2 linked regions of the Astyanax mexicanus genome follow. The protein of the gene in region 2 binds, or shares a complex with, the protein of the main gene of each other region. Links are inferred from orthologs where the notes say so. Each region holds a gene or a part of one and is shown on either strand. Other genes may lie near its edges. The genes, in order: prkci and llgl1.

Evidence for each region.
Region 1: the proteins of llgl1 (region 2) and prkci are in contact, whole or in part, in a cryo-EM structure (PDB 8R3Y), measured with the Homo sapiens proteins. The link is inferred for Astyanax mexicanus from reciprocal best matches to the Homo sapiens genes LLGL1 and PRKCI. Residues at the interface, in NP_004131.4 of Homo sapiens: Ala315, Asp319, Glu367, His391, Ser392, Ala394, Thr396, Glu453, Cys483, Glu484, His485, Phe506, Asp507, Pro508, Tyr509, Ser510, Asp511, Pro513, Gln518, Lys519, Lys569, Ala600, Val601, Thr602, Leu644, Gly648, Pro649, Leu650, Ser651, Arg652; in NP_002731.4 of Homo sapiens: Asp339, Met341, Gln345, Arg348, Leu381, Asp382, Met399, Thr412, Phe413, Cys414, Pro417, Leu425, Glu445, Gly449, Arg450, Ser451, Gly457, Ser458, Ser459, Asp460, Asn461, Pro462, Asp463, Asn465, Thr466, Glu467, Asp468, Tyr469, Leu470, Phe471.

The regions. Positions count from the first base shown.
Region 1 is NC_064415.1:44,601,120-44,617,445, forward strand, and holds the start of prkci (protein kinase C iota type), read right to left. Parts: upstream 7,854-16,326; 5' UTR 7,626-7,853; coding exon 7,546-7,625; intron 1,004-7,545; coding exon 882-1,003; intron 1-881.
Region 2 is NC_064410.1:54,045,328-54,062,427, reverse strand, and holds the start of llgl1 (lethal(2) giant larvae protein homolog 1), read left to right. Parts: upstream 1-10,968; 5' UTR 10,969-11,109; coding exon 11,110-11,190; intron 11,191-17,100. Other genes in the region: myo15aa (unconventional myosin-XV), read left to right, coding at 465-539, 749-954, 2,407-2,549, 2,699-2,771, 2,974-3,046, 3,516-3,589, 3,683-3,765, 3,851-3,981 and 9 more. UniProt on the Homo sapiens protein: Cortical cytoskeleton protein found in a complex involved in maintaining cell polarity and epithelial integrity. Involved in the regulation of mitotic spindle orientation, proliferation, differentiation and tissue organization of neuroepithelial cells.

The sequences.
Region 1 (16,326 bases), on a different chromosome or scaffold from region 2:
GACATTACTGAGAGCTGTCTGTCTCTCTGAACACTGATGACACCCCCTTTCTCCACAAGAAGTCAGCACTGTGCTGCAATCACAGCAAACTCATTCCTGGATGAACAATGCTATTACAGCAGCCCTTTCACCAATCCTGAGGATTCTTCAACCCAGAACCCTTTCAGTGTAGTAGGGAGTAAGTAATAAGGTGAGCGGCCCTAAATAGACAGTTTGATTAACTGGGGGCTGCTGATGTGGCTGTGATTGATATAACTTTACCTGCTGCTTCACTTTGTCCCACCGAGTTCATCTTTAAAGAAGCTCTGCTGCTTCTGAAAGCCTGGAAACAATAAAAACTGAACTATACTGGAGTTCACCAGGGTTTCTATGGTTTGTAAGGGGTTTCTGTGGCAGCCTATTGGTTTCTGTTGTATTTAGGGAGTTTCTGTGGTCTTCAAGGGGTTTCTGTGGCATCAAGGCAGTTTCTGTGGTTTACTGTGCAGCCATGGTTGCAGATGTGCACATTTCACCTATTTGTTTGATTAGCTTTATCTCTACTCCTATAGGTATAAGTGCCCCTTGCTGGGTCTGGCAGGTACAGGAATAAAACAATAGATTCTCTTTGGCTTATTTAATTTTGCGGAAAACATGAACCACTCACACACTATACTGCTAAACGTACAATTAACACACACACACCACACACACCACACACACACACACACTAAAAGTACATTTCCCCTATAAAGCTTTGTTTTAATAACAATCAATAACTAACTATTTATAGATAAATTCAGAAAGAAAGAAATTGAAAAAAAGAAAAGTGATAAGCATAAGATAAGAACTGGTTTATGAAAGTGGTTTGTGTTTATGTTGTGTTTATGTGGACCAGGACCCACCTTCCTCATCGATCCACTTCATGGTGAAGAGCTGGTCATTGTCGAGAGAACACATGTCCCTCACCTCGCTGTACAGACCCTCATAGGAGATGGACGGCTCAAAATGCGTGATCATGATGTCCCTGCAAGATCACCAGAATGACCAGATTAGAAAAAGACTACCTATAAAATTTTAATGATTTACATGTCACTAAACATCTGAGGCACTGTACAGTCTGATTCAAATTAAAGTGAACTTCAATATACTCTCACAGAAAAACACATTTAACATTATTATTTATAACAGCATCATACATATATATATATATATATATATATATAAAATTATATAAAATTTATCTTCTATAGAGACAATGATCCAAAACATAAAGCAAAATCTACAATGGAATGATTTACAAATAAATGTATCCAGGCGTCAGAATGGCCAAGTCAAAGTCCAGACCTGAATTAAAATATTTTTATATTAGAAGCACAATGTCTGTTTTTAATAATATATATATATATATACATATATATATATATATATATATATTTTATATATATATATATATATTTTATATATATATATATATATATACATATATATATATATATATATATATATGTATATATATATATATATATATATATATATATATATATATATATATATATATATATATATATATATATATATAGTGGAGTGACATTTTTATACCGCCCCTTTCCTTCCTTGAAAGCAAACTGTTCTATTAATGTTTACGCACACATGCGCACACACACATTTGCTGCTCTAACAATCAGGGTTTCAAAAGGAAAGGGAAAGTACAGGAGCGGGTTAAAGGAAACATATGCTGAACTATGCTACACTGAATGGAGACTAAAGGCTATCATCTAGCTCTGCATCAGTTTGCTCTGTGTCTGTACTAGCAGCATTAGCATATCTGGGTGAAACATGACGCATGAATCTCAGTGTGAGCAAGACTGAGATTACATTACATTACATTACTGATGTACACACACACACACACACACACACACACACACACACAATGACTAACTACAAAACACACACAGAAACTGACCCCTAGGTCACTGTACTGTTCTGAGGAAAGGACTGCAGACACTACACTATACTATCATCACACTACATACTTAACTCTAGCAGAAACGGGCATAGGAGTGGCTTTGACATTGGGGTGTGGGACACATTTGCTACTATGCATGAAAGCCCATCCTATCCCCTAAAATACAGCACCCTCCATAATTATTGGCACCCCTGGTTAAGAAGTGTTCTTTGGCTTCAGATAAATTTCTTTTTTTTTTTTTTTTTTTTTACAATATAGAACATGGATCTAAGCTTTAATTCATTAAGTGCCTTTATTTGGTGGGAAAAACAATTTTTTAATTGAAATCATGTGTTCCACTTATTATTGGCACCCCTGGTGTTATTATTTTATCAACCTCCTTTTGCCAACAAGACAGCACTTAATCTTTTCCTATAACTCTTTACAAGATGGGAGAAAACAGAAAGAGGGATCTTCCACCATTCCTCTTTGCAGCCCCACAGCATGATGGAACTGCCACCAAATTTTACTGTGTATAGCAAGTGTTTGTCTTGGAATGATGTGTTTCTTTTTTCTCCCCTTGTTATGTCCACACACTCAATTAAAGTTTCATCAGTCCATAGAAACCTTATTCCAAAATGAAGCTGGCTTGTTCAAATGTGCTTTAGCATGCCTTAAGCAACTCTGTTTGTGGCGTGTGCTCAGAAAAGGCTTCTTCTGCATTACTCTCCCATACAGCCTTTCCTTGTGCAAAATGCCCTGAATAGCTGAATGATACACAGCAGGGGTGTGTTAAAAAAAAAAAAAAAAGAATCTTCGATTTAAATCGATCATTAATTAAATTATCCGATAACGATACATATTAACCCAAATCGATCTTTAGAATCGGCCATTTTCCCCGTATATGAGTACAGTTTTACCGTCTCACGTTTTATCTTGCAAAATCATCCTCGCAAGCACTGCCCTCTGGCTGGGGTGATCTGGAGCACGAGAGACGGCGCACAGGAGTGCGGGGGACTTTCTGTAAAAATTAAATTCTGTATTTCCACTCAATGCTGCCTGTGTTTATCAAACTACATTAAACACTGTTTAAGTTGTTTTCCAGTGTTGTTTTCACCTGTACTTTATTTAAAGTAAGACCTGACTGGGTGAATCCATCGTTAGCTTAGCGGGTTAGCCTTTCACCGGTTAAACTAATCCTCGATAAGAGCCGGTTTTCCCAGCACTACACATGGCTGGAGCACTTGCAGTGTCGAGCGGTCGATCAATTTAACAGGTTTAACTGTTAGCCAGAATAATTGTTGATTAACCTGTAACTGAGTAATTTAATGTGTAAATAGTGGAATCACAATCGTGTTCTTTATGAAGCGCTGTTACTAATTCAGATTATTTTGTCCCCAGGGAACGAGAGGCTCTTATAACAGGGGAGAAGAGCTCCGGCTCAGTGAGGCTGGATTTTTCTTTAAATTTAATAAAGTTTCCTCTCTTTACATTATTAATTTTGCTTGTTGTGTTTTTATTATCACTATGCGTATTATAGTATCACATCTGAACTAGTGGGTATAGTAAAATTTCACATTTTTATTTGCAAATAAATACATTTATTAAGCATTTTATGTCCGAAGCCTCATTAATGATCTGTAAGCACATTATGTTTTACCCACTAAAGACTGGGGGAAAAATATAATATCAAAAGAATTAAATAACAGGCCCATGTAAAACAACATACACTTACACAATACCAAGACTAATTATATATATATATATACTCTCTGAAATGCTTAAGGGCATTTTGTAGAAATATCATGATAAAACACTTCCGTCTCTCTTCCTGAGGCAGGAGTTCTTACAGGCTCCATTCAGAGTAGAAATCCATCAATCACAGGCTGAAATGAGGATAAGCATCCTGAGCATACTGCTCCTGATTAAGGGGGCAATATGGCACAAATATCATCACTATACAGAAGACGTTTTCACAGTACCGTGTATGAAGGTCTATCATCTCTACACTGCACACTGTTAGAGAGGCTTATGCATGTTTGTTCATAGACTTATAAGTGAAAGGTTACACTGTTCCAAACCACATCCATTTAGCAAATAAAAAGACAAATGAGAGACAATTAAGAGAAAAATTATTATCTGTTTATGCAGATGAGATTAGTGACAGTTTAAGTCCAGTGTAAGTTTAAATCATGTCCTGTTGGACACTAGGAGTTTACATGTAAAAAGATTGGTGTCAAACACTGATTATGTTGTGTTTAAACCCTAAACTAGAGGGCAGTGTTGTACTTTCTTTTTTAATCTCACTGTTCTAACTGAATAAATAAACGGTATAATGTGCATTTTTACACTAGAACAGTTTTAAATGCAAATATCTTCTTGCATAAAGTATCACAGTATATTAAATCGTAACTGCTGTAATGTGATATGCATCATATCACCGATAGACAGCAGCAAAGCTTACTAAAGAAGCACATCATACCAAACATTTTGTTGAACTGCTCCTTTAATGCGAGGCATCTGAAGCAATGGAGGAAAGCAGAGGAGGAATACATTCTAACGGGTGCGGCAGAAATTTGTGGATCAGCAGGTTTATCAGGTCCTTCAATGAATTACACTCAGTCAACACACACACACACACACAGACAGACACGCACGCGCACGCTAAACATTGACAACCCTGAAGTATTTCAGAAAAAAATTCCAGACACCCATAGTGGTAAAGGTGTGGGAGGAGAACGGCAAGTCTGGATGATATTCCAAAAAAAATCACAATACGTGCAGGACACAATAACATAGTATAGATTTTAAAACAAACTAAACATATAGTACATACCTAAAATGTCAACATTTGTGCTACTAAAACAGCACCTTCTGAAGGTTGTACCAAACACAGATACTTTTATGAAAGTTCTTTTACATTGGACTTCTTGTTCCAAACCCCCACAAAAAAAAGTGCTCACAAAGCCAGTTGTCCACGTAACGGAGAAAAAAAAAGGACTCCTCGGACCAGACCACTCTCTTCCATCAATTTGCAGTCAAATTCTGACAATCACATGTCCATTGTAGGTGATGGAGGACAAGGGGTCAGCATGGTCACTCTGATAGGTTGGCAACTATGCAGCTCCATTTACACAACAGGGGGTACTGCACTGAGTGATATTTTCCTCCCGTAACCATCACTAAACAGAAGCACTATTTCCCCTCATCAACATTAATGCTTTCATCTGAGAGGGGGCAGAATCTGATTGTCTTTTCTGGGAAATACTTTGGTTCAGCTTCAGTACTGCATTACTGTAGATCACTCCACTAACTCTGGATATGCAGTGTTTAATTTTGCACCAAAAGATCAAACCAGAAAAGAGCAGAGTCTACCCCACAGTGTGTATTTACGCGGTGTCAATGTGTGACAGGAGCAGAGCAGAGCTCACAGTGCTGGCCTTCACAGTGAATACTGCTTTTTACAGTATAAAAACTACAGCATTATTCTTAGGGAAGTCCAATTATGTTTTACTGCCTTATGTGCCAGTATGACTCTTAACACTGAGCATCATCTAATATCTATTTGATCCCAGTACCCTAATATTTTTAATAAGTTTTATCCAATTTCATCCAATATGAGTATATTAACGCTGAGTAGAGACTAATACCAATTACATCTGTGTACAGTAGTTTTGAGTATTTTGCAATAAAGATCCATCTACCTAAATGCTGAATATCAGACAATATTTGAGTCGTTTACTGCTAAGTATGAATTATTTCCAGTTCTATCCAAGCACCTTATTGCTAAGTATTATCTGACACCAATCTGATTTCAGTATCTTCAGTTGTGTATCAGCTGATACGGTCTTGAGTACCATAAAGCTAATGGCTGATACAAACCCTACCAATTCATACCTCAACGCTGAGTATCAACTGATGTCGGCCAGATTAGGGTACAGTAAAGATGGGCATCAGACAATACCAATCTGATCTGAGTTCCTTAATGCAGAGCATCAGCTTGAATCAGGGAGTACCTTATTGCAAAATATTGGTCAAACCAATCCAATCCAATTAGAGTATCTTAATGCTCCGTGTCAGGTGATACTGAGACAGGCTCCTTACAACAAAACAGAAGACAATACAAATCCGATCTACATAACGATCCTCGTATTGCAATGATGTGTATCGACTAACACTAATCCTAACACCAATCCTTAATGCTGAGTACTGGCTGAATCTGTCATAAGCATGGGTGTTGGCAGATTACCTTAAAGGCGAGTTTCCACTGTTACTAATCGAACACCATATAACTGAGTATAAACTGCTTTGATCTTAGCTATGAATCCTGTACCATTACGCTGAATATCAGCCAATGCCAATTTGATCTCTATAGTAACATCAGCACTTTTAGGCTAAATAACCAATCTGATCTCCCTAACAATCCAAGCACTGCTATGCTGAGTATCAAAGGATAGCAATCTGTTCACCTTAAATGATTTGAGAACCGGCTGATACCAATCCAAGTACCTCAGTGCTGATACTAGTGCTGGGCGGTATGACCAAAAATGTATATCACAGTATTTTTCAAGATAATGACAGTTCCACAGTATATTGTGGCATTTTTATTATTTTATTTATTTATTTTTGCATGACTAGGCTTTGATATAGGTTTGTGATTTATATGGCTGGATATTGTTTTAAAATTTTAGTACCAACAAATAAATTCAGTCACTTCACTTCTTTAGAGTGAACTGGTATACCCCCCAGCACTAGCTGATACTGATCAGATAAGAGTACCGTAAGGCTGAATATCGGGCAATACCGCTCTGTTTCAAGAACATTCATTCATCGCTGATTCTGTTACAGTTACCCATCTCACTATCTTATTGATGAGACACTGATCCGATATGCCGATATAAAGATACCATTATACAAGTACCATAATGTTATGTTTCAGCCAATACTGATACAATTCTCACACCATAATACTGAGTATCGGCTGATTCTGGTCTGAGTACCTCAAAGCGGAGTATCGGCGAATACCGATCAGATCGGTATCAGATCACAGTACTCCGTGTTGAATATCAGCACAGGTATCAGACTGTACCTAAGCTTTCAATATGATAATATATTAAAATACCTTTATTGTGTGACACACTACTACTACGTACTGTGACACAGTAGGTATACATTAAAAATGGACATTTTCAAAGCATTTTAACACTGAACTAGAGACAAGTCTTAAACTGCTCTGTTCACGCGAACTTTCCGTTCCACCTTAAATAAGGCAGCAGTTATAGTCGCCTCATTTAAGGTGGAGCGGATTATTCCGTATTTAGAAATGTAGCGCTGTTTAGGGATTTCCCAAGTATTTTAGCGGCAGTGTGAGTTAATATGGGATTGAACAGTCTAGTAAACGTTTTAAAAACGTTGACAATTCATTTCAAAACGCAGAACAAGTGTTTACTTTCAGCCTAATCACAGTTCTAAACTTCTCAGGCGTATTACCACCACAGTTCTAGCCAATTTTCCAACTCTGAGACACAAACAAGGTTAAAAAGTAGTGATGAAGTTATTAATCAGGATATAAAGATTTAAATATATAGACTTAAAATAGTAAACTAACGCGAACTCACCCGCGGTAGTAGGCCTTCACCCGGACCTGGTGCTGGTTCTCCCCCGGGTGGGTCGCAGTGCTGTCCCGCACCGTCGGCATCGTGAACCGCCAGCCAGCGAAGCCCCGGAGAAAACCGCCTTATCCGGCTCGACTACGGTTTAAGCTAGTGCCGGTCAGCGGAGCCGGTCCTCCTGGGTGTGTCCGCGGAACAGAACGGAGCTGTAAACGGGCTAAAGGCAGGCTGTGAGCGGGTCTGACCGAAACACAACAGCGGCGGCCTGGTCTGGAGAACACAGCCGGAGTCTCGACTCCCCCCACAACAGACTGTGCAGTGGACTCTACTGCGGAACGAACTAACTATGGAATGTGCGGGGAGCGGAGACCAACCTAATACCAATAAACAACGAATTTAACATAAAACGTAATAAATATTACATTTAAAACATTTAAGCCATGTGTGTGAAGGATAAATATTGGGTTACTTTGTGGAATAAACACAAAACTATATTGTTCTAAAGTTTTGTCAACCCTTTTTAAGTACAATGGAAGCGCCCGGAAAGAGTCCGACTATTCCAAAAGAATGGCCGAAGAGGGGTGGACGATTCTTGATTCACAACTCTTCAAGGTAAACCAATCTTATCAGTCGGCGCTCATAATCTCAGTACTCTCTTAACTTGAACTACTGCTAAAGAAAAAAAAAATAGGACAAAAAACAAGCAGAGACTAAAAATTTTACTAAATAAAAACAAAAAAGTCTAAATCAGTTGCTAATTTGGTAAAATATCTGTTTCACTAGTCCTATTTAAAAATAATACCCCTAACAATTCTATGAAAATTGGGTACCCCTCCACCCTAGAACCTCAAAACCTCAGTACCTGATCCTAATGTCATGGTTTCAGCCTGCAGACCACCCCACCTTAAGCACACACGTTCATTTTGATTATGGGTTTCCTTTACTAGTTCAGAACCTCTGTGTCTGATCTTGTTGCTATTATTAAAGCTCCAATACCGCCATCCCCCACTTGAGGTTGGGTTAATTGTGCCCCCCTCTACACACCTGAGGTTCTCATAGATATTTTGGGCCCCAGTGTAATTCCCCTTACCTCCCACACAGCTGGTGGCGCTGCTAATTACCACATTTCTGATGACTGTTTTGTTTTTATTCTCATTTGATAGTCAGACAGCTGCGTTTAATTCACACCCGTATTCTGCCAAGCCACGCCTGCTCCTCTGTGATTAGCTGAGATTGTAGAGCCCCGCCCATTTCCTGTTCATTCTGCTGCACAACACATTACTGCAGTATAGCGTAGTGGCGAAGGAGGGCGCCAGAGAGCCAGTTCAAAATTAACTGAATGAATGGAGTTGACTTATAATTAAGATAATTAATTAGGCAGGTTTAAAATCATCCCTTAAGCAAAGATTTCTTTTCACAAACAGCCTGTCTGGACTAGAGGTCAACAATATCTCTACTTCAGTCTTACAGCTGATGTAAAAATGTTAAAAGTGAAAAATAGGTATTATAGTAGCAAACAAATAATTAATTATTTTAAAAATGATATAATATAATATATTCGTATAATAAAAATATTATAAGAAACATATACAACATTAATTACACACTCTGTAGATTTAATTTAATTTAGAGTTAATAATAACTGTTCTGTAGTAAAGGCAGCTGTAAAAGTATACAGTAAGTAAGTTATACAGCTGATTGGCCGTTCAAACTATAGCAGTTAGCCCCACACATAGACCACTGCAGTCCTGCAGTCATTTTTTGGACATGTTGTTTATGTCCATAATTGTGTTTCCGTGTCGAAGCTGAATTTCTGTATGTCCACAATGAATGAGCTCTGTATGTTCTACTCTGTGTACATTTCCCTCCTGAACATCACTGGATACTCTGAGTTTCGAGATCGTTTAAGAGTCAAAATGCAAATAATGCTAGCTTTTAGCTAATGCTACGGCGCACTGAACTGAAGTCACAGAACAGCGGCAGGGAACGTGAACAAGCTGGCAGAGATATGACACAGACTGTAGAGTGAGGTAAAAACACTTTCAGTCTGTTGATGCTGAGCAGTGTAGCCTGTGTTAGACTTTTAAAAGGCAGATAATAAGACAAAGTGAGCTTTAGGTGCTCAGTGGTTCCCAGTACTCATTCTGGAGCAGCGCTTCCCGGCGGATTTATTATTTAACTACAGTCATTGGTTTGAACTAATTACACACCTGATCCAAATAATCAACTAACTAACTGCCCTGGAAGAGGTGAGCTGAGCTGGGTGTGTTACACCCGCAAAACATTAAAACAAGCAGGACAGTGTTACTCCAGAACCACAGAGCTAAAACACTTAATGTAAAAGTTTAAAACACTTAATGTAAAAAGGCTTAATGTGGGGTTTCTTAAAGGTCTCATTCCATCATTTTTGAATTAATTAAAAATGTCTAGTTTTGGTCTCAGTATAAATGAATGCCATGTGAGCTGTTTTTTGTAAAAAAAAAAAAAAAATGCTCCAGTGAACAGGTGTTTCGCTGCTTTAGTCCCTTAGAGGAGTGGGTGGGGAGAAACGCTAGGATTTTGGCTCTTGCTCATGAATATTCATACATGCAAACATATGGCCTCTGATTGGCAGTATCATATGTTACATTACAACATGTGTAATACCTTGCTAATGCAGTCCAGCCACTTACCTATTCTTACAGTCTCTGTAAAATGCAAAATCTTTACCTTTAGGAAGTGAAAGAATTATTAATTACACCACAACAGCAAATTCGTGTTGTAAGTAAAACTGGAGAAAATAAGTGATGGAACATTGTGTATATAAAATTACATTTAATGATATATTGTATATTTACAATGTTAATAAACAGTTGTACTGATTTTCTTCATTATATCTCTTTTAGTATTAGTCTATGAGGTGTTTAATATAATCTGCGCAGCTGCATGTTTGCGTGAACACTCCCTGAACACTCTTCCCTGATGGCATGGGCATATTCCAAGATGACAATGGCATAATTCACTGAGCTGGATTTGTGAAAGAGTGGTTCAGGGGGCATGAGATCATTATTTTCACAGTTCAGACCTTATTTTTATTTATTTATTTTTTAAATGAATGCAACACAGGATTAAAATAAATCTTGTGACATTGCAGAAGCTTATTGAAACAATGCCACAGTGAATATGTGCTGCAATCAAAGCTAAAGCCGGTCCGGCAATATATTAAAGAATAAATAATAAAGTGTACACTTTTTGGGCGAGACAGTGTTACACAGTGATAATAAACATATGGAATAAGAAAAATAATATACTCAGTTAGTTATAAAATGTCACATTGATTAGATACTTAGAATAAGAGGACAATTTTGTTAAACAACAGTGTTTTAAACACAACACAAAAATATAAAATCCATTTAACTTATATCCACCACCTTTCACAGAAGAGGAACTGTGTTCTTAGTTGACAGGTAAATTTAACACATTCAACCATAAGCCGATACGTCTGCTTTTACCGTATTAAATAGGATAATCCAATACCAGAACATCCTAACCCAGAGAAACAGCTAGGTTCTGAAGCTCCAGTAAAGCGGGTGGTTTGTGAGGTTTACTCGCTACACTCACCCCAATTTGCTCAAATGCTCCATATGAATATTTGAAACTCTGGTATGTATCTATGTATGTATCTAAAGAGCATGAAACACTTTCTAAAGTGGTAATTTTCCTTTCTGAAAGTTCTCTGTAATCATGTAATTAATATGTAAATTTAGGTGTTATTACAAAACATTGGATATTTCTAAACAATACTCAACTATTTTGAGTTAGTTGAACATTTGTGGGCACATATATATTTAAACAGAGATCTTTGAGTTGAACCAATTTATAAGTCTGCTGCCATTGGCAGATTATTTTCCATTGGCTTCTGTCACAATCTATTTGCATACTGGGTGTGTCAAACAGTTTCTGACACTCAACATCAGTGTGTAGTGTTTCCCCCTGGGCTGCCTTAGAAATAAATCAAGTTTCCCTTTTGTTGTTATAACTTAATGTTTTAATTTATGCTAACTCAAGTTTTCTTTCCCCATTACTTAAAAGTTCTTACCAAATTTCCACTTTAGTTGTAATAACTTGATGTTCTAAGTTATGCTAACTTACGTTTTTATTACCCATAACTTAACTTTTTTAAGACAACCGGTTTCTTCAATTTTTTAAAGTAAATCCAACTTGTCCAGGCTTACAGTGCATGCTAACATTTTTGCTGACAAATCTACAATAAAGAAAGCATTAAAGAAGAATGGAGTTCATGGGAGGACACCACAGAGGAAGCCACCGCTGTCCAAAAAAACATTGCTGCACATTTGAAGTTTGCAAAAGAGCACCTGGATGTTCCACAGAAGAACTGGCTAAATATACTGTGGACAGATGAAACCAAAATTTAGTTGTATGGAAGGAACACCAAACACTATGTGTGGGAAAAAAAAACACCACACCATCATCAAAACCTCATCCCAACTGTGAAACATAGTGAAGGCAGCATCATGATTTAGGGCTGCTTTGCTGCATCAGGGCCTGAATGGATTGCTGTCATCAAAGGAAAAGTTAATTCTCAAGTTTACCAAGACAATTTACAGGAAACTTAAGACCATGTGTCCGCCAACTGAAGCTCAACAGAAGATAGATGATGCAACAGAATATAGAAGTAAATCAACAACCAAATGGCTTTAACAGAAAAAAAATATGCCTTCTGGAGAGTCCTGACCTCCTGAACCCAATTGAGATGCTGTGGCTCGACCTCAAGAGAGCGATTCACACCAGATATCCCAAGAGTATTGCTGAACTGAAACAGTTTAGTGAAGAGGAATGATCCAAAAGTCCTCCTGACTGTTGTGCAGGTCTGATCTGCAGCTACAGGAAATGTTTGGTTGAGGTTTTTGCTGCCAAAGGAGGATCAACCAGTTATTAAACACAAAGGTTTAAATACTTTTTCAGAACACATTTAATGACCAATTTATGCAGAAATCCATGTATTCCCAAAGGGTTCACATACTTTTTCTTGCAACTGTATGACAAACAAATCACTCCTGTTACTGTCACTCATTCCTGATACTTTTTATGTTTTATATAACTGGATTGAAAGAAACAGGAGTGAGTTTTTAGCATAGAGTTAGCAAAAATAAATAACTAAATAAGATCTAAGAATTAATTTAGGTAAAAGGAATGAGCGTTGAGATTGAGCTCCTCTGTTATAGTTAAAATTAGATAAAATATACAGAAAAACAAATGAGGATATGACTTGTTGTAGAATGTTCCAGATGTTTCAGATGGGATAATTTGTTACAGTATCAGGAATGACACAAATAAATGCAAATAAAATGTGTATTTAACTTAAATATTATGGATTTATAAATAAATGAATAAATATATAAAAATCCATAATATTTAGGATACGATACACATTTTATTTGCATTTATTTGTGTCATTCCTGATACAAATAAACTGGAGAGTGTAAGAGCTTTAAAACTATTCAGAAAGAATACAGATGATTGACCTTTCAGTCTACATCAATTTATCCCCACCCTTTTAGTCATAATAATACATGTGTATTGTCACAATTATCAAGATGATTATCTGTAACTATTCTACACCTGTTTTTGATGAAAAAAGACGTTTTTAGGCTAATTCAAATAAATCCCACTGTTGTGTTGAAGCGCTATAGAAGCCCATTCATTTTCCACCCTCCTGCGCCCTCTGGAGGACAGTCGAGAGTCAGACTTTTAGCCAATCACAGCACAGGGGGCGGGGCGTGTCTGAGTACGGGTGCGCAGAGCGTGGCGTCTCGCCGAGGCGCGCGGGTAATATCGAACAGCAGACAGGTAAGAGTGATGCACCTCCAGCTCATCTCACCTGCAGACAGAGCTGCCGCGTTCTGCGGGACGGGTCACCGCTTTCTCTGGGTTTAAACGAGGCGCGGCGCGGGAGCAGGAGGGATGAAGAGCTGGGAGGGGGCTCAGACTGTGCTGCAGGAGGGGGGCGTTTCTGCAGCAGAGAGACAGACAGACAGCAGCTCTGCAGCTTTAGACCGGAGAGCGGGTTTAGACCAGAGATTAAACCGCTCGAGCTGCGGCAGAGTGCAGTTACAGTTCAGTAAAACGCTTCAGAGTTCACTCTTCATCTACATCACTATCAACAACTTAACATCTATACTAATAAGGTCTACAGGCTTTGTCTAAACATAGTTTTAAACCTGAAACAATCTGAAACTAAACCTGATAACTCAAGTTTAAACTTAAATCTGCACAACCCTAATCTAAACCTAAACCTGTACATCTTAAGTCTAAACTTATATACTAAACAGTGTCAGTCTAAACCAAAACCTGTACAGCTTTAGTCTAAACGTAAGTATGAAACAGCGTCAGTCTAAACCTAAATCTGCACAGCCCCAGTCTAGACCTAAACCTGTACAGCTTCAGTCTAAACTTAAATATAAAACAGCGTCAGTGTAAACCTAAATATGCACAGTCCCAATCTAGACCTAAACCTGTACAGCTTCAGTCTAAACTTAAATATAAAACAGCGTCAGTCTAAACCTAAATCTGCACAGCCCCAGTCTAGACCTAAACCTGTACAGCTTCAGTCTAAACTTAAATATAAAACAGCGTCAGTCTAAACCTAAATATGCACAGACCCAGTCAAGACCTAAACCTGTACAGCTTCAGTCTAAACTTAAATATTAAACAGCGTCAGTCTAAACCTAAATCTACACAGTGCCAGTCTAAACTTAAATATTAAACAGTGTCAGTCTAGACCTAAACTTGTACAGCTTCCGTCTAAACTTAAATATTAAACTGCGTTGGTCTAAACCTAAATCTGCACAGAGTCAGTCTAGACCTAAACCTGTACAGCTGCTGTATAAACTTAAATATTAAACAGCGTCAGTCTAAACCCAAATCTGCATCAGCCCCAGTAAAGACGTAAACCTGTACAGCTGCAGGTTTAATCTAAACCTAAACAGCCTAAACAGCAACTATTTATACCTAACTTGCACGGCTCCATCCTACACACAAATCTAAGCAGCCTCAGTCTAAACATGAACCTGTAAAATATATGTCTAAGCTTAAATCTTAGACACATAGTCATGTGCTGTGCAGATTAAGACTGGAGCTCTGCAGATTTTGGTTTAGTCTAACATTGTGTTGTGGGTTTAGATGGTCACTGTGCTGGTTTAGGTTTACTCTGGAGCTGTACAAATGAAGTTTTAGTCTGGAGCTGTGGAGATTCAGGTTTAATCGAGACCATGCTTGTTTAAGTTAACTTTAAATTTAAATAACTGTCTGGAGCTCTGCTCATTTGGGGTGCTACTGTGAAGGTTTAGATTCTGTGTGATGTTTTAAGTTTAGACTGTAGGTTTGCATTTAGTCTAGAACTTGCTAGTGGAAATTTAAATAATAATAATAATAGGATGTGCAAGCTTTGATTTCATTCAGAGCTTGGTGGTTTAATTTAGACTACAGCAGTACTGATTTATGTTTAGACTGAACCTGTGCAGTTTTAGGTTTACACTACAGCTTGCTGATTTAAGTTTAGAAAAGTGATGATGGTTGGAGCTCAGGACATTTGGATTAAGTTGAGCTGGGTTTAGGTTTAGTCTAGAGTTTGCTTCTTAAATGTTTAGTCAAGTCAAGTAGTTTTGTTGTCAATACTGCATATGTACAGGACATACAACAATTGAAATAACTTTTCTTCTTCCCAAAGTTACAGCAAGTACAGAAAAAAGGATTATGTAAAATAATGAGATACACTAAATGTACAATACAACAAGTTCACAGATATAGATATACGTGAGACAAGAGACAAGACTATAGTGCAGTAGTGAGGGGGGGTTAAGAGGGAATGACAGTACAAGTATAAACTGAACCGGTATAAGCAGTAGTGCAAATGTAGAAGACAGACAGACAGACAGACAGATAGATAGATAGATAGATAGATAGATAGATAGATAGATAGATAGATAGATAGATAGATAATTTATTGATCACAGAGGGAAATTCTGGACACGCAGCACCAGCAGGTATACACAGTACACAGAAGTTACAAAAATGATACTATGATACAGATAAAAAAAACAGTAAAAATAAAAAAAAAATAAAAAGTATAAAAGTAGAGTCTTTTTTAGTGTGTGTAATGGAGTTAGTGCAGTTAGCACAGTAAAACAACAATGAACACCAGTTGCTGTGCATATTGAAAATAATGATGTCAGATATACAGGATGTGCAAGTACGCAGTTATATAATAATTTAGCAGTGCAAATTGTACAAGTGTAAACCGTGGACAAAAAATAAACTATTAGTTCAGAATATGGTAAAACTATAAAAATTTTATAAATAGGGCATCTTGGAGGGTGTGTCAATGAAGTGACCAGAGTGGCCGGAATGAAAAAGTTTCAGAAAGAGTCTAAGAGGAGTTGAACAGTCTTGTGACCTGAGGGACAAAAGACTTTCGGAGTCTGTCTGTGGAGCAGGACTGGGACAGCAGTGAGTGAGCTCCTCTGCCTGGTGATGGCTCTGTGCAGAGGGTGGTGAACATTGTCTATAATGTTCAGCAGCTTGCTGAGGGCTCTCCTCTCTGCCAGTGGTGTTAGCCAGCATCCCTCTTGCTGATGCTGCCTCCCCAACACACCACAGCGTAAAAGAGGACGCTGGCTACCACAGACTGGTAGAACATCAGCAGGAGTTTCTGGCAGATCCTGAAGAACCTGAGCCTCCTGAGGAAGTACAGTCTGCTCTGTGCCTTCCTGTAGAGGGAGTCAGTGT
Region 2 (17,100 bases):
CACCAGAAGTGGCATAAAGTTATCCAAAAGCAGTGTGTAAGACTGGTGGAGGAGAAAATGCCAAGATGCATAAAAACTGTGATTATAAAACATTATATAAATATTGATTTCTGAACTCTTAAACTTTATAATATAAACTTGTCTCCTTGGCATTATTTGAAGTCTGAAAGCTCTGCATCTTTTTGTCATTTCAGCCGTTTCTCATTTTCTGCAAATAAATGCTCTAAATGAAAATATTTTTATTTAGAATTTAGGAGAAGTGTTGTCCGTAGTTTATAGAATAAAACAACAATGTTAATTTTACTCACCATATACCTGAATGAATAGCAAAATTACTGATTCAGAAACTGAGGTGGTCTTTTAATTTCTTCCAGAGCTGTATATGTTTTACTTGGTTAATATAAGTATTTATATATATTTATTGTCCATAATGTTGACTGGTAGCTGCTGTGGCTGTTCCGCAGGCCACTGCTATGGTTGCATTGTGAAAAAGAAGGTCATGCTTCTTGAAGAGTTAAAGAGAGACACACCTGATTTTGGTGGGTTGGAGTGTGCTGATTGGCTGCATGGAATGCTGTTCACTCTCTAGTTTTCTACTTTCATTTTCCTGTTGTGTGAATTTCACTGTCTGCTTTCTGCTGGGACTATAGAACTGTATTGTTTCTCCTGTATTTTTGTGTTTCCTACTAATATTTCATCATAATGTGCCGTCTTACATTCATACATGATGTTTTTATGCCGTATTAAGGCTGGAAGTTTGGAGCAGTGCACGGTCGTGCAGGGGGTTTCCCTGTGGAGTATGTTCAGCCAGTGGCTGCTCCAGACTTTATCAACCTCCCTGTGGACAAGAAAGAGGAGCCCAAGAATAAACAGGGTCGTGTGGCCGCCTCCGCTGCGATAGCTGTGGCTGTAGGCTCTGCTGCTGCCGCCCATGAGCTGGACCGCTCCATGGAAGTAAGTATTAAAGCAATGCAACAGTATGTAGTATTTTTACATAAAATAATAGCTTTGGATGTTCCTATGACTGTAATAGGGAGAATGGTGTCTATATCGTTGCTAATAGAGATGAAACATATGACTGAAGGCAGGATATCAAGTATTGAACAATATTAAACACTTTTTGTTGCCATTTTTAGCAGTGTATAAATGTAATAGATTAAATGTATTTTTGTCTTGTTTGTCATATTTAAAACTACACAGACATCTCAACTAAGCACAGTTTCACACAAGCCAGACACAGGATAGACACTCACAGATACGAATCAAAAATGTATTGACAAAGAGACTATTCTTACAAGAGTAGTGAGGGGCAGGCAGGGGCAGTAACTAAATGGCAACAATAATAAACAACATACCAGAGAGAGCAGTCAAGCAAACTGGGGTCATACACAAAAGATCCAGCAAGGCAAAAGGGAAGACAAGAGAGGAGTCAAAAACACAAAAATAGGTCAGTAAAAAAATAGGTCGCAAAATGCGATGATCGTAACAAAAAGGCAAATACAAAAAAGAAGAGTCAGAAAAAGAAGAATTAGGAAAACTAGATTCAATACTTAGCCATGAGCATGGCAAACTAAAGGGGTATTTATACAGGGGAGAACAGGTGGAAACAATCAGTAGCTCGGAGAGCGAGAATGTTGTAGCGTCACATGATCAGTGGAGTGAGGGAAGTTTGCCTTGTGTGAATGCTGGCAAATGGAGTCCGGAGCAGGCAGGCTGACACACAGTATGATAATAAATTAATCATCATTTTGTATAAATATTTTCTTTTTTTTTATGTATTTGGCCGAACACCAAGCGGATTTTTTTTGCTAAATACTCTTGCTACTCTTAGTTGCCATATCAGTAACTGCATTGTTCTACAGTGTAGCATTCAAAGTTACACTGTAATTTAGTGGTTACATCACCAGGATATTGATGACAGGGTTATTGGGTTAATATCTAATACTGGGCGCTTGAACAAGGCCCTTTTACCACTTGCTGCTCCCTGGGGCACTGCATTGATGGCTGCCCACCATTCCACGCATATGTGGTCAGTGTATTTTACTGTGTGTGTGTGTGTTCATGTGTTTGTGTGTGTGTTTATTACATGGGTGGGTTAAAGGAGGGGGCCACATACCATCTGTGTGTCCAACACAAATATGTCAAAAATGGTCGTCTTGTCTTGTTTTGTTTAAATGATCTTGTGGTTGAAGGGGAACTAAAAAAAGGCCTTAGAAATACCCTTGCATTTTTGACAAACTTGATCAAAATACTTCAGTAAAGTATGTTTGTCTCCAAAAGTACTTAACATGATATAAAATAATATAATCATCTGTGTTCTGCAGCTGTTCTGTAGCTCATACACTATATTATTATTATATATATATAATTATGTATTATTAATATATGAGCATCTCTCTCCTCTAGGTGGCCTCACCAGCCACTGAGTATACAGAGGCCCACACAGACTACAGCGACATGGAGATTGATGAGAGGATCCTGCAGGACAGCCAATACAACATGGTGGAGTTCGCCAAGAAATATTTCAGAGACGGACAGAGAAAGACCAGGTCAGACAACTTCTTTAAACAGAACTGGTAAATGTGTGTAAATGTGAATGTAAATGTAATAGAGGATGAACTAAGCAAGCATGAGCCATAAGAAACAGTCTTATTTGTGATAATGAACATCCTTTACTGTCTCTTAATGTTTTCTGCAGTGATTCATATAAGCAAAAGTCAAAGAAGGGGAAAGACTTTAAGGATCCAGCAGAAATGGTGAAATTTTCCAAGGTGCAGAATAATGTTTTTGCGATACTCCATTAGTACATATAATAATACATAAGTTAAATACTGTGAGGAAACATTCACCGAATGCAAAAAAATATTTTTAAGCATACAGATAATTTAAGATAATTAGTTTTTTATGCTATATAACTATTGGTAGGTTAGTATCAGTTGTTGATAATGTTGTTGGTTTATTTGTTTTGACTAGACCCCAATCCAGCAGTCCTTGATTGAGTTCACAGATGAAAATATGAATAAGATAGCTGCAGATATTTTTGTAGGTAAGTATCGAGCTCACAGTTATTGTTTTGTACTAAATCCCAGCATTTGAAAACAATATGTGCCATTAATTATTATAATTCCACAAACTACTACGATTTGGCTTTCTACTAGATTTTGGAGCATTTCTGTAAAAATGTGATTGATTGATTTGATTGATTTGCAGTAGTTAAAGTCTTTTATCAATCCAGAGAACAAAGTTCCACAGCTCTGCAACTTCATGTCGGGGATCTTTATACACGTCTAATCCATTACTTAATGTTCTAGATTTTCCTATTTCATTGGCAGAACCTCTCTACAGAAATTAGACAAGCTGTGTTTGTGCATTTGCACATCTGTTTCAGCAGTGGGAGCAACCTAAAGTAGATGATCGCCTTTATTAAAATGAGTGTCCACAAACATGTTTACATACTATCTAGTGTTTGTTTATTGTGCATATGTATCTTATACATCTGTCTGATGTTTTTCCAGCTATAATGAAGTTTATGGGGGATTACCCAATAAAAGGCCAAACTGAGCAAGACATCGTCAGCACCATACTGAGGGTAATCACAAACAGACCACCCGGCACAAAATACATTAACCGTCCACCATTAGTAAAATCAGATTCTCCTGTGATATATGTTTTTCTTTGGCAGCTGAGTGGAGAGTATGGTCTTTTAAAGGATGAAGCATACTGCCAGATCCTCAAACAGATCACCGGAAACACCAGTTCAAAAACGTATCGTTTCTCTTTTCTCTGCTTTAGAAAATCCAGTATGTAGACTGTCAGCATGATGTTTTTGTACTTTTTCTGTATTTTTCAGTGACAGTTGTCAAAAGGGGTGGAGGCTCCTGTATATCCTCACAGCCTATTACCGCTGCTCTGAAGTCCTGAAGCCCTATCTACTGAAATACCTGCTGGACGTCTGCGCAAGCCCAGGAGTGCACTTTCAAGGTAGGACGCTGTTGGTGTCTGCTAGGGCTTTCTAGGGCTGGATATTTTACTAAACATAAATAGAAACCAAGCTTTGGGATCTTGTGTATAAATCTTGCTCATATCAGTTATTTAATTTTTTCAGAATTAAATTCTGTTAATCGTTATATATTGTGTAACATTTATCCTGTGGTCCCTGTTTTGTACATTCTGTAATACTGTTGTGCAAGAAAAGAGTGTACTAACACTGTTAGAACTGTTTTGTTAACCCTAAATAAAATAAAAGAGGCTCCTCCCTGACCTCCTAAGCACTCCCACACTCAGCCTCGCCACAATGTAAGTATATAAGTGACACAGTAAATAAATAAAAATGCCATGAGATACCATGGCCAAGCGGACTAAAACACTGATACCATGGCAACAGCAGTTGGAATCCTGGGTCATACTGCTTTAGCATCAGCAGCCGGAGCCCGAGAGAGCACAATTGATTGCGTGTAGATGATGCTTGCTAGTGATGCTTATTGGTGACAATTCTACAAGAGGGGCAGCTAATTTTACATAAATGGGAGGACGCATGCACTCGTCCTCGTCCCTTTTAGTATTGGGAGCATTATGAGTAAGTGGGTGGATTATTTTTTTAAGCTGTATTGGAGAGAAAATTGGTAAAAAAATAAAACATGCTGTGTCTGTTGTTCGCTAAAATAATAATTCATTAGTCAGAATTAAGGTAAAATGTTATTTGCAGAGTTCAGACGGTCAGGAAAAACCTGGAAAAGTCATGGGATTTGAAAATAGCAAATTTGAAGGAAAAAATACCCAGAAAGCTTTGGAAAAGTTTGGAGAAAATCAGCTTAAAGTTAATTCAGTATTTTAAGTCTACACAATAGAGCTCTTAGGATCTGACACACATTTTATTATTTAAGATTGTGTGTAAACATTTTTATCAGATTAATTTTAGGCGTACTATAATTAATTTTGATTATATTTTTAGTTGAATTTTGTTTTTATTGTTCATGTCTTCACTGATGATTTAAAAATCGTATGGTCAAACTTTGCCTTAAAGGCATGGAAAAGTCATGAAAAAATCATGAAAATGTATTGGTTAAAAAGTATATGAACCCTATAATTGTAATATTAAGGTCATATACTTCACCTCCTCTCAGCTCCTTCAGTGATTATTTAGTAGACCATTTTAATTAATTAATTTAATTTAATTAAGTACACTAGACAGAAATGAACATGAGAAGGTTCTTGATGTTGTCTTGTTGTTGGCAGGCATTGCCAAAGCTTGTGAGCAGAACCTAAGGAAGACGTTTCAATACGGCGGGCGCATTGAGTATCCTAACAGCATGGAACTGAAGGCTATGATGGTTAGTTTTCATATTTACCTGACTTTAATCCAGCTATACGGTTGTACTTACCCTGTTTAATTTCTTCATGTCTGTGCTCTTGGCTCCTGTAGGCTGGTAGGAGCTCCAAACGTCAGCTGTTTCTTCTCCCTGGGGGGACTGAGCGGCACCTGAAAATTAAGACCTGCTCAGTGAGTTTCCTGTTTTCAAGCTTTCATGCTTTGAGAGTTTATGTTCTATATTTATTACACTATATTTGTGCAACTGTCATATTTAGGTTGCTTTGGATGCCATAGAAGAGCTATGCTATGAGATGGGATTACACAACATGGAGGCCATGGATGAATATGCCATATTTGTTGTCACAAACAGAGGTGAGAACATATAATTAATAACATCAGTATATTTTTGATGATTGCATAATTTGTAGCACCATTAAAGGACACGATTTGCACATGCATTTCTGGGCAAGCTGATCAATACAGAACTGTCACTAAAAGTGAATTAATTATGTTGTATATAATTTTACCAAATACACGATTTTACACAAATTTGACTTGAGTTAAGAAGAGTTAAACCAGAATTACACAATGCAGTTAGCAGTGTGATGAGCACAGAGTGACAATGATAGTGATGTTATTCTCACAATCATAAGTGGAGCATCACAGTGATTCTAAAGCTGTTATATCTACAATACAAATTCTATATAGTTTTGCACTTTTCTGCTGTATTTGAGGTTCATTAATGAAAATCTCCATTTCTAGATCAGTATTGTCTCAAAATGCACAAGATTAACCATGTTTTGCGCTAAACTAACACGTATCGTGCTTGTGATGATTATTTAGTGTTACTAATGACTTGTTTCAGCTGTGTTGGGGGATGGAATATTGCCAGATTATGAACCGTTTAGTTGGAATGAAAGAACTGGGTTGACAGCCACTGCAATAGATATTATATGCAGTGTATATACAGCTCTGGATGGTCAGTTTCTGAATCTGTTTCTCTGACTTTCCTATTTATAGGTATATGTTTGAGTAAAATGAACATGAACAGACTTTAAATAATGCCAAAGAAAACAAGTTTATATTCATAAAGTTCAAAAATCAGTTTTTGGTGAATTAAACCTCCACCAGTCTTACACACTGCTTTGGAATCTATGCCACTCCTGGTGCAAAAATTCAAGCAGTTCAGTTTGGTTTGATGGCTTGTGATCATCCATCTTCCTGTTGATTATATTCCAGAGGTTTTCAATTTGGTAAAATCAAAGTAACTCATAATTTTTAAGTGGTCTCATATTTTTCCAGAGCTGCAAGTGCAATGTTTTTCTATAAAATTCTCCATCACTCCTAATCTACAGGTCAGAACGTTCGTCCACTGAATAAGAGAGAGTACATCTTGGATATCGTCACAGAAGCAGAGCCTATCGACAGCAATTACAGCCTGTGGTTTAGAAGAGTGATCTGGAATCAGCCACTTAAATTTGACAATGAACTTGGAGTCACCATGCATTACAACCAGGTACCTGTTTTCTCTTAAAGCAGCACCTTTTCATTATTTTGAATTAAAAACAGTACTGTCCCTTAGTTCAGAGAGGGCAACATATTATAATACTGTAAATGGCATCAGTGTGTTCTGCTACCATTCCTGCAGTATATAATATATTTATTTTAAAGACAGGGTGTCTTGTAGATCCCAAGGATTTTTTCTGGCTATAGCAACTTTTCCTGGTTACTAGGAAAAGACTTGCACACTGTCACTTTAATATTTCTGTTTATACCTCAGTAACAGGTTGGATGATGCATTGCTGTACTTATTGGATGAGCTTTTGTCACAGAATTTGTACTTTTTCATGTGTCTCATATTGCAGGTTGCCCCTGACTACTTAAAAGGACTGCTGAATGTTGTTCCGCAGGGGAAAGCAAGTGAGCAGCAGTTTCAGCAGGTGGCAAAATTGGCCGCCCTGCAACATCGTGCCAAGGACTCTGCCTATCTTCCTTCCCTGTAATTCAACAGTCACTCGCCTTACATTTTACCAGACCTTTTTCTAGATCATGTTTTTTCTAGATCATGTTCAATTCTAGAGCTTGATTCCAGATTCCAGTCCTGGATTTCAGAAATGATAGAGTTAAATTCATTACATTTTCAGAAAAAGATTTTATTAGTTCTGCTAGCGCTCTGCTCTGAATGGGTCGTTCCTGCTCCAATAGCTTTTATAACTATTAATTTGGTCTTTATCTTCAAAGTGTCAGTTTTGTTTTCTTGTGTTATATTCACATAATGACATGATTATCGGACAAGTTGATCTTTTCAGAACTTTTAACAAAATTATGAATTTCTAAAATCTTTATTTTTAATCTTTTATTTTAAGTTTTTTTTCAATTGGATTAATAGCTAAAATTATAAACTATGTTTATCTGTACATTCAAGCCTTGAGGTCCAGGAGTGCATTCCTGTCCAGCTGTGTGTGCTGCAGCGCCCCCAGCAGTGGCTGAACATGGTAACCCAACACATGCAGCAGATCCAGGCCCTCAGCCCCCATCAAGCCAGAGCCCAATTCCTGGGTAAGGAGCTTCGATGCTCAAAACGTAATCAATACTGTAAGTGTCTATGGTGTATACTGTATTTATGACCACTGCTTTATATTTTGGTATTACAGGGCTCGTAAGTGCCTTCCCCATGTTTGGATCCTCCTTCTTCTACATTCAGAGCAGCAGCAACAGCTCCATTGACTGCCCCTGCATTCTGGCTGTCAATCAGAACGGACTGAACTTCCTGAACAAAGAAACACATGTAAGTAAACTGAGCAGATCATGAACACATGTATCTTTATATTGAGATAAAGAAGATAGACCTGATGAACTGATGAACTTGATCGATTATTTGCTCTGCAGGAGCCGATATTGAAATTCCCCCTGAAAGAGGTGCAGTCCAGCCGCACTCAGAGGCCTACAGCCGGCTCCTGTTACCCTTATGTGGAGATAATGCTGGGAGATCTGATGTCTCAGCGCATCACACAGCTGCATTTAGACCAGGTATGCTCTGTACTGTATGTGTACATGAAGGAGAATAACATAATTGGGATGTTGTGATCTTTCATGATGTGGTTTGGGCTGGCTTAATTCCAAAATATGCAAAGACAAATCAGACATGACTGGGAGTTTTTGTACATTTGCTTTGACTTTCGTTTGATGCAGACAGTTTTAGACCGCTGGACCACTCGGTGCCCCGTCTTTATACATTTCAATATGTTTCTCTTGCGCTTGTTGATAAACTGGAGATCCTCTCCTCATCTTTGCTCATCAAAGTCTGAGTCAAATCATGATTATAATCAGCTGTTGACATCACCTTTTTAAAATAACATCATTATTATTTTTTTTAACCATACGCTGCCTCCATCCCAACTTCTTTTGAAATGTGTTGTATATTAGCACATGAAATAAACTGAGCAGACAAAACATTAAGGGCTCTATTTTAAAAATCTTTAGGTGAGAAGTCATCCCCACACCCCGTGCAGCTTGATTTAAGGCGTGCAATATGACTTTGCTATTGTAACCACAGGAAAAGTATGCACTGCGAGGCTTAAAACACGCCAAAGGCATGTACTTATCCTCTTAATTAATAATGGGTGTGTTTTGGGCGTTCATTCTGTTTATTGTTGAGGTAAAAGTTTGCATAGCTGCCAACAGGCATGTGCTATGGGTCTTTTAACTGCTGCGTGTCCATTTGTGCGTAACAAGTGTGTTGGGCACGTGCTTGTGTCTGATGGTTGATGTCTGCTTAGGTTGTTTTCAGTCAGTGGTGCACCTGTGTTTTTTGTTGCCAAGGTAGCAATATGGCAGAAATTTACCTAAACACACACCATATTTCCTTATTGGATATATTCACACACACTGTTGCTATTTAAACAATGCAGGTGCGAGGCATGAAAATAGACTGTTGGTAGGGTGTAAGATAGCAATGAACAGGGTATAAGATAGGGTCCTACAAATATTGAGTTTATACTGTCTGCAATTAAATACTTTAGCATTTAGTACCAACTTTTGGATTTATTGGAGTGATTTTTGCATATGTGTGATGTGTGTGTGTGTTTGTTACTTTTCAGAGTCTGGAACTATGCCGTGTCATCGCCATGCACATGGAGAACATGCTGTCAGTGCGAGAGAAGAGACTCACTCTGCCTCCCAGCGAGATCACTTTGCTTTAATTAGCCTTCAGACAAAAACACTCACACACATTATATTTCCACTTTCAATGATAAATATTGTTAGAATGATTTGACCGATTTTTAGCCTTGTTGCTAATTTAAATCGTATTACCACTACCTCACACCCTGAAGAATATGCTTCGATATGCCCCCACAGGCCCTGATTCCACTTTCACTGTGGAACACAAGGTAGAATCGCCCGTCTATAAAGAATGTCTATGATTTGTCAGGATATGCCATGTTTTGCTGCTGTTTCTGAAATCATTTGCACTTCTGTGAATATGTACATAATGTATTTGTGTGTCATTTTCACATGTTGTATCTGAATACAAAAATAAATCTAGTTTTTCAAATTATTTTTTTTATAATTGAACAAAACGTGAAAGCCTCCGTGTGATTTATTTGATATATCCTACTCATTATTAAACATCACTAAAGATATTTAGTTTGAGCTCAAAACTTATTTCAGGACAATCAAAATACTGCATAATAGAAAGGAATAATACTGCAAATTAAACTCACTTGCAAATTATAAGGCAATGTATGAGGAATCCAAAATACTGAATTCATACTATGCATGCTTTATATAAGGCCATAAAATGTGTCGATTCAATAAATTCAATGTTGTTTTCTAACATTTGTTATTTTCAAATATTCACTATTTCCTTCCTTCATTATGTTTCCAAAATTGTTTTTTTTAAGGCAGAAACAAGGGAGAAATTTCTTAAATTGAGGGAATTTGTGGGGATTTCATGTTTCAAACCGTGATAACAGATGTTTAAATCAAGGGAATCATGTAATAACTTATGGTAAATAATTATTCAAATAAAGGGAATAATTTATTATATTATAATACATTTTTATTGATGGAATGATTAGTGAATATAAGTAGTGAAAGATTTGTTAGATTGTGGTACCTGTCTTTTAAATTAGGGGAGTGTAATAAATTTAATACAATCAAGAGAATAATATAAAGTGAAAAATTTACATTTTTTCCAGATTTAGATTTTTGTAACAAGGGGATTATTTATTTAATTGAGAAAAAGATTGAATTATTAAATTAATTCGAAATTGAATCAAATTTATAAATAGATGGATACTTTTATTAAAATTAAATAATGCTTTATCAAATTTTGGGAAATGTTTTAAATGGATTATTTTAGGTTTTTAGTAAGTATTTGGTCTGGTCTTCTGAAGCCCTGCATGTGGAGCGTGCTTAAACGGTCTGCTCTCAGCGGCGCTTCTGATTGGACGCTGGGAAATTGGCTGCTGATTACAGTCCGCGGCAGCAGCGCTCCGGTCCGCGGAATCCGCTCCGGGTTTTGGGTGCGCAGTGAGGCTGGGGGCGTGGTTTAGAGGCTTGGTCGCGGTTTCCCGGGCTGTGATTGGCTGCTGCGGCCGTGATTCCTGTGAACTTGCCCTGTGGTTGAACGACAGGAGCAGGCTGTGGGCGGGCGGTGAGAAGCGGAGGCGGAGGGAGACGCGGAGCTACGCGAGGCACGCTGTCCGTTTATTTAGCGTCAGTTTAAACGGTGCGGGAGTTGAGAGACAGAGAGAGACGCCGCGGGGTTTGGGGACGCTGTGTTCGGCTTCAGGATGATGAAGTTTCGGTTCAGGCGGCAGGGGAACGACCCCCAGAGGGAGAAGATTAAGCAGGACCTCTTCGCGTTTAATAAGGTGGGTGTGATTCGGGGGCAGCGGGCAGTTTAACCGCGGGGTTCTGCGGGGAGCAGCGGCTGCCCGCTCAGCTGCGGCTCATCAGAGCTGCGTGTTAAAACTCAACCACTCAACGGAAAAAGTTAGCTGAAGCTGCTGCTGCTGCTGCTTCTGCTGTAATGCAGTGCTGCTGCTCTGTCCTGCACCACAGTTTAATGTGCTTTCTTATAAATGAGACATTTAGTCTCCAGAATTAAAAAAAAAACATATTAACTATCCACTATTTCCTTAAAAACACAGCTACTGATAATCTCAAATTTGGCTAATCCACGCTTTTTCTAGGACATTTTTTCTGTTGTTTGTCTCTAGGAGTCTACACAGGTCTGGGATGTTTATTTAACACGACTGTTCACAGTCACTATAAAACAATCCAAACATATCGTCTGTTTTTCCCAGTAAACATTAGTGAGATGTGTGGGATGTTTGTTTGTACAATTTCTAATTCAAAACCTTTCAACACCTCTGGAAAAAAATAATTAAGGATAATTAGGATGCAGACCTCAAATAATGCAAAGAATACAAGTTCATATTCATAAAGTTTTAAGAGTTCAGAAATCAATACTTAATGGAATAACCCTGCTTTTTAATCACAGTTTTAATGCATCTTGGCATGTTTTCCTCCACCAGTCTTGCACACTGCTTGCACACTACTGTTTTTTTAAGCCGCTCCTTGGTGCACAAATCCAAGCAGTTCAGCTTGGTTTGATGACTAGGTTATATTTGTCTTCTTTGTCTCTAGTAGTCTAAAAACATTAGTAAAATTGGCTAAACTAGTTAGTTACCAATGTTAACAAAGCATTTTTATGCTTTCAGCTTTGGAACTCCTATATGATGATACATACAGAGAGTGTACACAGGTCTGGTATGTGTTTCTGCAACGTTTATTGTCCGCAATCACTTAAAAAAACTAAAGATATGTCTACAAACATACCTTCTGCTCTTCCCAGAAAACAATGTAGAGAGGTGTGGGATGTGTTTATGTACCATTTCTAATTTAAAACATCTCAAAAACAGCCCAAGCTTATTCTGCCAAAAAGCTCTTTTCTATATTTGTGTTTGTTTTTAGCATTGATAAAATGGCAAAAACAATAAGCAGTTGCATGAATCAACTTTGCACTAACGCTTATTTCAGTAAACTGTGTGATATTGCAACCTATTTTTGTTGCACATTCCAAATTCTTGTCCCCAGTTACTAAAGAACAATTCAAACATATCTTCTGCTCTTCCCAGTACACAATGGAGCAAGGTGTGGGAGTTTAAAACTAGTTTAAAACATCTTAAAAAGCAGCCCAGACATTCTTACAAACAAATTAGCTCTTTTCTGTATTTGTTTTTTTGTCTAGCAGTGTAAAAACATTGGTAAAACTGGCAAAACAAACAATTGCATGAATCAACCATACAACCTTTGCATGAATGGCCTGTACAAAAATGCCTAAAAACACCCAAACTCCCATAATCTTACCAGTAAACAACCACAAACATTTGTCACACCACACTAGCTATTGCTGTTTCTTTGACTGTGAAAACTTTGATGAAATTGGGGAAAATTACCACAGATGTGCTCTTTTTTTAAAATAATTCCAAACCTCTCCTTCAGTTTTCCCAGTAAACAATAACATATTTGGCTGCACTCATTTAACTAGTGCTGTCTGGGTGATGTCTGTCTCTGACTGTGTAACTGTGGTTGCACCACACTTTCTCTTTGCTAACTATATAACAGTTTATAGAAAGAGTGTACACAATAAGGAGAAATGTGGGATATGTTTCTGTAACCGTTATTGTCTAAAATTCCTAAAAAAACAATGCATTCCATTTGCTCCTCCCACTAAACAATCTTAACATTTGCTGCACCACACTGCTGCTGTTTTACTGCTGTCCGTCTCTGACAGTATAAAACTGTCAAACAGATTCTGGTTATATCCTTTTGTTTCTCTCTCTCTTTTTCAACTCTGAATGAGGTCATATAAACAGCATATGCAGTGGAGTGTGGCCTGTGATGTTTCTGTAAAATTCTCTTATCCAGATTCTCTGAAAACAATTCCAAACTTATCCTGTGGTCTTCCACTAGTTCTGTCTGGGTCTCACTTCCCTGACAATGTGAGAGTTGGTAAAATTGGAGGTGACTAAAGTTAACAGAGTATGCTTACACTCTTAATTTGAAAAAACTGTAGACTTTAAATACCAAAATCTGGAGTCCAATAAAGTGTCTACACAGTGGTGAGAAGTCTAGGACATCTGCCTGGCAGTAAATTCTCCCACCTGAGTTGAACTCGCTTCTCAGAGGCAGGAGATGGTAAGATTTGTTGAACTGTTATGTAATGAGACAAGTAACATCTTCATTAAGATAAGACAATTCTTTTCACCTCAGGCATGAGGAGGTGGGCTCTGATATCCTTTGAGTAATGACTTTGGCTTCTTTTCTAAATATATGGAGTATAAGTAGTGTTTTTTTTATCTAATTATTTCTCTGTGTAAAATGTTTATTTTAATCTGCATTAATGAGTTTTACAATTTAGACATGTTCTGATCAGGGTTTTTCTCTAACCTTACACAATATTGTATACAATATTCAGCCAAAAAAACTCTTTTCTGAGAGGAGAACCAGCATTATTAATCAGTACATGTGGCTCAAAGTGAAAGTTTTTTTGTGTACTTTTTAAGTAAATAGTCATCGTATTTTGACCTTTTATTGTTTAACATATGGAGCTTGGAGTATAACACCGGTTTCATTGGAAGTCTCAGCTGTCACACAGAGGCTATATTTTAGCCTGGCTGGGTCTCAGTGGGAGTTCTTTAAAATTGTACTAAATTACAGCCTCCAAAGGAGGTGAATAACATATTGGTGTGAATCCTGTAACTATATATAAGCAAGTCTATAAAAAAGTAGTGTGTATGTCACCATTTAATGGTAATTCTGTAGTAATCTGGTCACTGTCAATTTTCTAGGATTAAGATTGCATTTATGTTTATTGACCTTGATCACTCGGGTAGGAGTATAGATCCTGGGGTTTAAAAATAAGTATCAACTAAAGCTTTTTACTCAAGTAAAAGTACTGGTTTTAAAACTACTTAAAGTGTAAAAGTAATGTAAGGCGGGAAAAAATAACATTAAGGACAAAAGCACTAGGATGCACTAGGCTCCCTGTTTCAGCTGCATATATGCCCATTGAAAATGAATGTATTCTAATGTTTACAATGCAAATATATTGAAATTTCTTCTCTTAAGTTCTCTTGAGTCTCTGCATGGATCATCTTCATTCTAGACTACATACATCTGCTATGTTCTTGCTGGAGTGTGGGCGCGACATGCAGGTGTGATGGATCGTGTAAACCAATAGGGTGTCAGAATTGTATATGTTTATACTTCTAATCCAATCGCAATCGGATTCACTCATTCAATCTGGAAGGAGAGATTTATCTGGATAGGGTGTTTTTTTATTGACGAGAAGCTGTAATGAAAACAAGCTGAAATGAAATAAGAGTAACAAGGCTAAAATGTAAGCCGTGGCAGAAAAACAATGACTCCATTAAAGTATAGATAACCAACTTTTTTACTCGAGGAATTTACTTGACACCTGACATTTGAATCATTACTAAAGTAGAAGCAATGTATCAATAGGGGTAAGTTGCTTTTGTTGTGTCCTACTGTACACCACACCATTTTTAAAAGCATGTTCACTTGATCTTGTTTAAAGCTCACCTTCCGCGAAAATCCGATTTTTCTTGTTTTTTTGTGGAATACAGTAGGTCTCTCCGAGTTGAATGTGTACACCTGCACATTAAACTGTTTTGCAGCCCCCATTGTCTGCAGGAGCTAAGCAAAGAAATCCCCCCTCCCCCCCTCCGAAAAACGGGTGAATTTTGAATTATCTTTCTGCCTACGTAGGCAGAAACTCACAGACCAGCCCACCTTGGCTCGAGAAACTCCCAGAGGCGGAGCTGAAGCGACGCAACATCACCGCTCATCAGTTAGGAGGTGGGAGGCAGTGAGCGGCAGAGAGGCGGAGCGGCGGAGCGGCGGAGGGGCGTCGCAGTGCTCCTAGCCAATCAGAGGAGAGATATTTGCATGCTGTTTGCATGTATGAATATTCATGAGCAAAGCTGGAATCCGGTCATTTTGGACACACCCCTAAAACAGTCCATTAAAAAAGAGCTATACAGAGACACCTGAGCACTTTTTTTTTACCAAAACGGCTCACATGTCATTCATTCATACTAGAGACCACAACTAGACATTTTAAAATGAAAGAAAAAACGACGGAAGGTGAGCTTTAACTATATATAAAGAAAATTACACTTTGCAGTAACTTGCACTTTTTAGTAATTGGGTCACATTCGGATTTCTCTTGACCACATAAACCCAAGTTTAAACGTGCCCGGAACTCATTGTGAAAGGATTACAATTGGAACACACAAACCACTTTCGGAGGTGGTCAGAGATGCGAGTGTAAACGTAATGTGATTTGTGTATCCTGATACGCTGACCACAGTGTGCAGTGTGTTCCCTTGTGGTTAAAACAGTCCTTCGCAATTTGTGATGGATCTGTTGGGAATTTACAAACCAACTATTGTTCCAAAGCAATTTGAACCCCAAGAGTGTTCCTTGAAGCTGTTTATGGTCTCCTGGAGTCATACCACAGTGTTGCAGAAACATATCCATCACTACAGCAAATCTGAGATGTATTTTTATTTTTGCCTGAAGAGCAATTGCCACTTGTGTCCACTAACTTGGAATGTCTGATGCTATACAAAGGAATGACTATCCGTATTGAAGTGACCAGACAAAGGTGTGTGTTTTTTTTTTGAGACCCCCAGTCTGGATTTTTATATTAAGTCCCAAAAGTCCTCTGGATACTACTGCAGAAATAGCCATATGTGCTGGTTGGACACCCTATTAAGTCACTTTATACCTAGTCACATGTGAGTAGAAACTGCGTTGTATTCTGAAATGATTACCCACATTCTGTCATGCAAAACCCCCAAAACCTCCATGATAGCAGCTTTGCAACAATCAGGGAAAAACATTTATTGTTCCTTTTTACTGAACCGTGATTATAGTGCCAAAATTACTGAACCCCTTTTCTTAAATGTTTATGATTTGGACTTAACCACATTTTTTGCTTCATTTTTGCCCAAATTTTTAATCAGAGGACTATTAGGTCTCTTATCTTAGTTAGTCTCCAGCCAAAAGGTACTGCATATACACTATATTGCCAAAAGTAATTATTCAAACAATTGAATTCCGATGTTCCCATCACTTCCACAGCCACAGGTGCTTCTACAACATTAGTAACATTTAGTAGAATTCCAGCACTGTTGTACAGTGATTGGATGCAGCACCTGTGCAACAAGTTCAGTCGTAAAATTTCCTCACTACCAAATATTCCACAGCCAACTGTCAGTGATATTATAACACAGTGGAAGAGATTAGGAATGACAGGGGGGTCTGTAGATGCTGAGGAGCATAGTGTGCAGAGTTCACCAACTTTCTGTAGAGTCACTACATCACTACACACCTCCAAACTTCACGTAACTTCAGATTAGCATAAGAACAGAAGAGCATAGAGAGCATCATGGAATGGGTTTCCATGGCCAAACAGCTGCCTTTTAAGCCTCATCACCATACACAATGCAAAGTGTCAAGTGCAGTGGTGGAAAACATTCAGCCAATGTACTAAAAGCAGTGTCCTCTGGATTAACAAACCTCTCTTCTCCGTCTGGTAAACCATTGAACGAGTCTGGATTTGACAGTTGCCAAAAGAACGGTTCTTTTTCTGGCTGCATTGTACCAAGTCTAAAGTTTGCGGGGGGGGGGGGGGGGATTATTGTTTGGGGGCTGTTTTTCAGGAGTGTGGCTCGGCTCCTTATGAT